Linked DNA regions of Daphnia pulex. The protein of the gene in region 2 purifies or fractionates together with the protein of the main gene of each other region. This does not show direct contact. Links are inferred from orthologs where the notes say so. Each region holds a gene or a part of one and is shown on either strand. Other genes may lie near its edges.

What was found.
Region 1: the proteins of NADH-ubiquinone oxidoreductase 49 kDa subunit-like (region 2) and protein l(2)37Cc-like purify together in Homo sapiens (affinity purification with mass spectrometry; 3 studies listed by BioGRID and IntAct, with this or other methods). This does not show direct contact. The link is inferred for Daphnia pulex from reciprocal best matches to the Homo sapiens genes NDUFS2 and PHB1.

The regions. Positions count from the first base shown.
Region 1 is NC_060020.1:1,678,407-1,682,057, reverse strand, and holds protein l(2)37Cc-like, read right to left. Parts: upstream 2,236-3,651; 5' UTR 2,098-2,235; exon of another isoform or gene 2,094-2,097; intron 1,882-2,093; 5' UTR 1,853-1,881; coding exon 1,765-1,852; intron 1,671-1,764; coding exon 1,509-1,670; intron 1,453-1,508; coding exon 1,310-1,452; intron 1,242-1,309; coding exon 1,125-1,241; intron 1,062-1,124; coding exon 966-1,061; intron 907-965; coding exon 694-906; 3' UTR 501-693; downstream 1-500. Other genes in the region: glucose-fructose oxidoreductase domain-containing protein 2-like, read left to right, coding at 51-287; molybdate-anion transporter-like, read left to right, coding at 2,762-3,000, 3,123-3,292, 3,360-3,629.
Region 2 is NC_060021.1:394,679-398,617, reverse strand, and holds NADH-ubiquinone oxidoreductase 49 kDa subunit-like, read right to left. Parts: upstream 2,593-3,939; 5' UTR 2,494-2,592; coding exon 2,390-2,493; intron 2,251-2,389; coding exon 2,025-2,250; intron 1,951-2,024; coding exon 1,749-1,950; intron 1,671-1,748; coding exon 1,483-1,670; intron 1,416-1,482; coding exon 1,132-1,415; intron 1,073-1,131; coding exon 846-1,072; intron 784-845; coding exon 643-783; intron 575-642; coding exon 537-574; 3' UTR 501-536; downstream 1-500. Other genes in the region: galactoside alpha-(1,2)-fucosyltransferase 2-like, read left to right, coding at 3,017-3,715, 3,784-3,808, 3,879-3,939. UniProt on the Homo sapiens protein: Core subunit of the mitochondrial membrane respiratory chain NADH dehydrogenase (Complex I) which catalyzes electron transfer from NADH through the respiratory chain, using ubiquinone as an electron acceptor. Essential for the catalytic activity of complex I.

The sequences.
Region 1 (3,651 bases), on a different chromosome or scaffold from region 2:
AAGTGAATTCTACCAATCTACGTGTAATCAAATGTACGATTGTTAAACAGGTGTCGGCTCTTAGGGATGCGTTTTCCCGCGTTGAGGATCGTAGTGGATGGATTAAAGACGCTGTTTCTTCCGCTGCTACTTTTGAAGACGGACAGTATGTTATGGCAGTCATCGACGCCGTTAAAAGATCCAGCAAGATGCGAGAGTGGTCGGAAGTGTCTATCATCCACGAAGAACCAGATCCTAATCCGGTGTTAAGTGCCGCTGTTCGCAGGTCCACTATTTCCGCTGTATGAACACAACCAATGCAATAATTTTCTGTTAACGTATTTCAAGAACAAATTTTTTTTCTCTTCTTCTCACATCATTCAAGATTTCTTCAAATAACCTTGCTAAGAAAAATGTTTCATACGACTCTTTAGTTTATGTACCATTTTGACAGTTTTTTCTTTCGTCGTGTCGTCTCGTTCCCTCCTTATGCTTACACACGACTTTAAAATGGAACAACATACAATTATTTATTGTATTTCTATGAATAGATGACAAGTGTCTACGGAAACATCGAATGATTAGTTTTTTTTTCGAAACGTGACCAGTCAATGAAATAGCATTCAGAAAAATGTGCTAATAACTTATTAACTGACCTCGTACCGAAACCTTTTTCGCCCCATACGATACAAAAACTTGATAGGACTAAATTCGTTACTGCGGTAGCGACAAAAGCGTCTGCTGGCCATTTGGCAGGTAGACAACATTTCGAGATTTGGACAATTGGTAAGCAATATCTTCGCCAGCTTCAATTCGTCGAAGTTCGACGAGACCTTCACCAGCATCACCAAAGGCTTTGGCCAAAAGAGAAGCGGCTTGGGAGTCACCTTCTGCTGAAATGACTGCAGCTTTCTTTAATTGTTCGGCCTAAAAAAAAAATACGTGATTATATGATTCAGAAATTTAACATAATTAGTAAAACTTACTTTTTCTACAAGGAAACGAGCTCGTTCAGCTTCTTGTTGTGCAACTTGTTTTAACTCAACAGCTTGGGTAAATTCTTTGCCAAAAGTCAAGTGCGTCTGTTGTCAAAGGAATAACGAATTATACTAAGTGATCGTAGCATATAACTGAAATAACATTACAATGGAGATATCGTCCAAGATTAAGCCAAACTGTCCAGCTCTTTCCGTTAGAGCTTCGCTAACTTTCTGGGATACGACTTCACGCTGAGTGATCAATTCTCCAGCATCAAACTGGGCCTAGAAAACATTTAAAAATCATTTATAATGCTTAGGATGAAAAAAAAAAAAATAATATATAATCTTACAACAACAGCTTTCAGGATTTCATTTGTAATAGAGGGGAGCACACGCTCATCATAATCAATGCCCAAGGTGCTGTAGATATTAGGGAGAGAAGTTGGGACAGGTCTGAACAGGACACGCAAAGTAATGTTTACATTTTGAAGATCTAAAATAAAAACCCTTAATGATGTTAGCTGTACAATTTTTTAAAATTTCATTTACCTTTGCTGCCAGTGATAACTGGTACATTCCTTGGTCGGGACCTAATGTCATAGATGATTGGCTTCTGCACCCAAGGAACAAAAAAATGTGTGCCTTCTCCTACTACTTCATTTTTCACACCAGAGAAACGATCAAAAATAACAGCTCTGTGGCCTCCCTCAACTAGAATGTAGAATAATATGAATGTGAAAAATATAAAAATAATAAAAAAGAAAACTACAGAAGATCTACTAATAAAAACAGTAAAACAACCCACCATTGTACAATGCGGAATTAATAACTCCAGCAGTTAAGGCAACTCCAACACCCAGTTGACTAATTCGATTAAAAAATTGAGCAGCCATGATCTTTATGAATTAATGTGAGTAACAATCTGAAAAGTGTATAATAAAAAAAAAAACACACATATTTAACATGTATGATGTAACAATGTGTGGCAGCCAGCTTAACTTTATTGAGCATTAGGATATAGGCACAATTTTTTTAAATTTCTACTTTTCTTGAAACGTTAGGCATAATAGAACTTTGACAAAAATTTTTAGAATTTTAACTAAATTGCGAAATTGCGCAATGTTTTCTACTTACATACCAAATTTGATTGAAAAAATAAAGCAAAAATGCCGAGAACGAAGAACGTTACACACTTCAGCCACACGTGCAGCAGAAGATCGCAGAAGAATGCGACCCTAGTGGTGAGCAATTAAACTTACATACGACATCTAGAGAACAAAGATAATATTAGAAACAGGATTTTTCGACACTTCAACAACAGCTGATGTTGTTATCTTGTAAAAAAAAAACAAAAAAATACACATGAAGCCGTGGCAATCCAAACTGTGGCACTCTATACTGAGACGCTCGTCCACCAAGTACGCGTTTTCACGAATTTTCAAACGTGCTGACGCGGCATATTGTAAACTCTTGTCGGTTTACATATGCAGTGTTATACGTGGCATTTCTTTGGTGGAAAATTGTTAAGAGACGTACTTTTGAATGGAGATTTCTTCTTGAAGCAAATTGAAGAGTTTATGTTGTTTAGGGATAACTAGGGAAGTTGAGAAGAATAGACAAACATCACAGATCACACTAGAGCTGTGTTAACTGGTACAGCAGATCCAGTACAAATAGTACTGACTATTTAATTGCAGGTAAAATATTTTCATTCTGTTTTATGTTTCATTTTTTAAATACAAAATCTATTCTTTACATGTACCTCCTTATCGAAATTCAGGCATCACATATTCCAGTCCAGAATGAAGGAATTTGTTGTCACAATTTTGGGATCATTGGTCCTTGTTTGTTTTGTTGCCCAATGGATTGCTTCTAGAACAAAATCACAACTGGTAGCTTCGCTCAACCCAGAGTTCCAAAAGTTCCAAAGAATTTTTTTTGCACCATATCTCTTGGCACTTTTCTCTGATTGGCTTCAAGGTCCATATGTCTACAGGCTTTACAGTCAGTATGGATATGCTCCTAAAGAGATTGCATTGCTGTAAGTATTTTTATTCACTTCCTGTGATATGTATTATCTATTCAAATTTTATTTCCATATTGTTTTGTGTTTCAATGTATATGAAATATTCTTTTTGGTTTTGTGTATTTGTGTTATTTTAGATATATTGTTGGATTTGCTGCAAGTTCTACGGTTGGAACTTTTACTGGGCCCTTGGCTGACATGTTCGGTCGTAGACGTCTCTGTTTAGCTTTTTGCTTTATTTATACATTTTGTTGCCTCACAAAGATGAGTCCGAATTTCTGGTGGTTGTTCGCTGGTCGCTTGTTCGGTAATTACTTTTTACCGCCAATATGTTGGCATACTTAAAACGGCAACTTCTAATATGTTTTTAACAGGTGGTGTTGCCACGTCCATTCTATTTTCCACTTTCGAGGCATGGTATGTGTGTGAACACACGGAAAGAAATGTGTTTCCCGCCGACTGGATCTCTTCAACATTTTCAATATCTACATTTTGGAACGGAATTTTAGCAATCCTTTCTGGTGTTGTTGCCGATATTGGAGCTGATTGGCTTAATTTTGGTCCTGTAGCTCCGTTCATGACTGCCATCCCCTTTCTAATAGCTAGCGCTGTATTAATTTCTCTCAGCTGGCCAGAAAATCACGGTAACTTATCTTTTATTGTAAT
Region 2 (3,939 bases):
GGTGTCATGCAACCAAGTAATGGAGCTCAAATGCACATGACTCTCGCGTGTACGAAAAAGCTAAAAGGCACCATTACCGAGATTACGCCTCGACCCTATTAAAGAAAGCGCCAAAAAGGAGGAAAACCCAAAGATTTTCTGAATAAGAAAAATAATTAAAAGAAAACAGAAAATCTACTTTTATTTCCTTGAAGAAATAATAAAAAGGCTGAATATACCTATCCGCCCACGAATTACTTTGACTGGGGTTCTCTAATATCCAATGATCGTGTTTCTAAGTCATCACAACACGAAACCAGGAGGAAAATGAATACATTTTCGAACCATTTCTGCTTAAAACTTGAACATGAATAGCATTTTACGTCAACTAAAGTCAAGAGTTTCATGGTAGAGGTTGAATTAAATTTTCCCATACACATTTCAACCACTGTATGTGTATTATATAATCACCTAATTCAACTCGGCTTTACATATACAAACTCCATTTCCAGTTATTCAAGTCACCGGTGTGGAGATAAAGAGGGCGTGGAACACATTCAGCGATCAATTTCTCCAAAAACCACATCCAGTGTACCTGCGAATCAAATTTAATTAGACGGTCATATATTCCAGGACGAAATCTGCATATAATTAAAAACGAACCAATGATGGCGACAATATCGGCGAGCATGTGGTTGCGGCCGACTTTCTCCAACGCGGCCAGATGGGCGAAACCTGGCGCCTTGATTTTGCAGCGATATGGGCGTGAAGAACCGTCAGAAACGAGATACACACCAAATTCACCTGGAAATCAACAACGAATTAGATTGAAATTTGGTTTAAGCCAATAGATAATAACAAGATACCTTTGGGATTCTCTACAGCCGTGTAAGTGGCTCCTGGAGGAACGTTATAGCCCTGTGTGAACAACTTGAAATGGTGAATGAGAGCTTCCATCGACGTTTTCATTTCGGATCGCTTGGGCGCCATGATTTTGGCATCGTCAACACGGACCTCACCCACCGGCATTTTATTCAGGCATTGCTCGATGATGCGGAGAGATTCCCGCATCTCTTCAACACGGCACAGGTATCTAAGAAAATTATGAAATTTATTATCTTGTGCTGCGAAGACGAGGTGATGTGACATTACCTGTCATAGCAGTCGCCTTTTAGTCCCACGGGAACGTCAAATTCAACCAAATCATAGGCGTCGTAAGGTTGAGTTTTCCTCAGGTCCCACTTGATTCCAGATCCGCGCAACATGACACCACTGAAACCGTAATTAAGTGCGTCTTCGGCGGAAACGATACCAATGTCGACGGTTCGCTGTTTCCAAATGCGGTTGGCAGTCAAAACGTCTTCCATTTCATCGATACGTTCTCCGAATTTGCTGGAAAACTCGTAGATGTCATCCATGAGACCCAACGGGAGGTCCTGTCAAGATCAAAACGTTGGCGATAAGAGAAATGTTTTTAGTGGACATTTGAAAAGAAAATTCTACCAGAGCCACTCCTCCTGGGCGAACATAGGCAGCGTGCATGCGAGCTCCTGATACACGTTCGTAGAATTCCATCATCTTCTCACGCTCTTCGAACAGCCAAAAGAAGGGCGTCAAAGCACCGATATCCAAGGCGTGAGTACCGATTTGCATCAAGTGATTTAGAATGCGCGTAAGTTCGGCAAAGAGCACTAAATAATTGAGAAATATTTTTTAAAAATGTCATTAGTCATATGATATTTAGAATTGCGATAAAAATAACTCCTCACCTCGAATATATTTGGCTCTTAGTGGGACGTCAATGTTTAACAATTTTTCAACAGCCAGTGAATAGCATTGCTCATTTCCCATCATCGAAACATAGTCCAAACGGTCAAAGTAGGGAAGAGCTTGAGTGTAAGTTTTGTACTCAATCAGCTTTTCTGTACCTCTGTGCAGCAAGCCGATATGAGGATCAGCTCTGACAACAGTCTATCAAATGAAAAAGTAATGGTAATGTGAATACAAAGGCAGTCACACTAAAAAGAGAAAAAATCGGTTTTTACTTCTCCATCAAGTTCCAAGACTAAACGTAATACACCATGGGCAGCTGGATGTTGTGGACCAAAATTAAGGTTGATATTGGTGACCGATTTCTCTACTGGAGCTTCATAGTGGTTTAAAGGAGGCATTTTCCATACATTTGCTTTGGTTTGCGGAATTAGACATGGCATATCATATTGTTTGTAATATTCCATATCAGGATTCCATGTTGCCCCATGTCGCCGTGGGCTGCAAAAGAAAACAAAATCATTTACCGACACGAAAGAAAGAATAACCCACTACCTACAAGAAATTATGTAAGGGTTTAGGTTCATGTAAATAAAGTTGCTGAGCAGACCATTTAAAATAAATTAAACACAAATCTTACTTGGCAAAGAATCCTAAGGAAAAATGGGGTAACAGAGACTTTGGTGCAGAATTAATTAGGGAAATAGTTCCCTTTTTCAACCCAAGTCCAATAACGGCAGACATTTTTCTTCAGAGAAATACACAAAAAATTCCCGAATGTAACATTTAGTTGCTAGATGGCTCTGAAGTAGCACATTTACCGAACAGCGATACCTAGGAGTACAATTGGTAACTAGCTACTTTTGTCTTTCCGCGCATCAGACAGCATGTGCTGTGAACAATCATTTCTTTTTTTGTCTGGCTGATCTGGCTCTCAGCCATCCGGTTTACAGTCCAGTCAAAGTCGAGTCGAGACTTTGTTAGTCAAGTCTTCCGGTGGTATCCACCCCCTAATTATTTCATGTAAAAAAACTAAAAACAAAACTAGGAGTTACAGAAGATACGCACAGGAAATTGCAATGATTTCAACAACTGTTTTAATATTTGTCGTCATCTCTTTCAGAAAATAAGGTAAACAGTTTTTTAAATTTCCCTATGCAGTTGTAATCATAACATTCCTTGTATTTTCAGGCATCCGCGATTTGTTTACAAATGATATCATACTCATTAACAATTTTTCTAATGCAATTAAAATAATGGAAGAAGAATGCCTAGATGCAACATAAAACGGACAGTGTTTTCTCTACTCCTGATTGGATTCGCTTTCTTTCTGATACTCTCTTGTCGAACAAGTAATTTTCTCACTCAAGATCCATGGAAGCTAAAAAAAGAAAAGGATGTCAAACTTGTCGCACCAATCAACGAAATCTCAAATAATCAATCATTCCACGTCAAGCCAGTCATTAAATTACCCCACAAAAATCTTTTAACTTCAAACAATCCCAGCCTTAATCATCAATTGCACTTCCAGAATTCAACTTTCATTTGTGGGAAAGGTGGTATTTTGACAGTCAAATCTGGAGGCCGCCTAGGAAATCTTATGGGAGAATATGCCACACTGTGGGCATTAGCTAAGAGAGATGGCCTTTTCCCCATTTTGCAGCATCGAACTTATACCACATTGACCAAATACTTCCTTGAAACTTCAATTCCCACAATTGTCAACCTAAATTGTTCACTCGTGTGGAACTCTATGAATTTACATGTCTACAACAAATTGAACAAGGGTGAGCGCTCGAAAATTGCTGAAGAAGGCATCTACATTGATGGTTATCCTACATCGGTGTCTCTTTTTCATCGTCATCGGAATGAAATCATGAAGGAATTTCGATTTAAGAAGCAGTTCGTTGAACGAGCACAAGCAGAATTATATCGACTCAGAGAAAATCGCCAAAACGTTGTTTTTGTAAGTTATTTAAATTTATCGAAAAGATTTTTTTTTTCAAATCTATTAATTGTTTTATAATATTCAAGGTAGGAGTGCACGTCCGCCGAACAGGTGAGTTTTTATAATTTTTCATGATGAAACATCGGAAATAAATGTGCCATTTTTCTTTTCAATTACGTAGATTACAGCCAGTTCCTAAAAGGGCGTTTCCAAGCGCAACTAGTCGGAGAAGTCTACTTCAC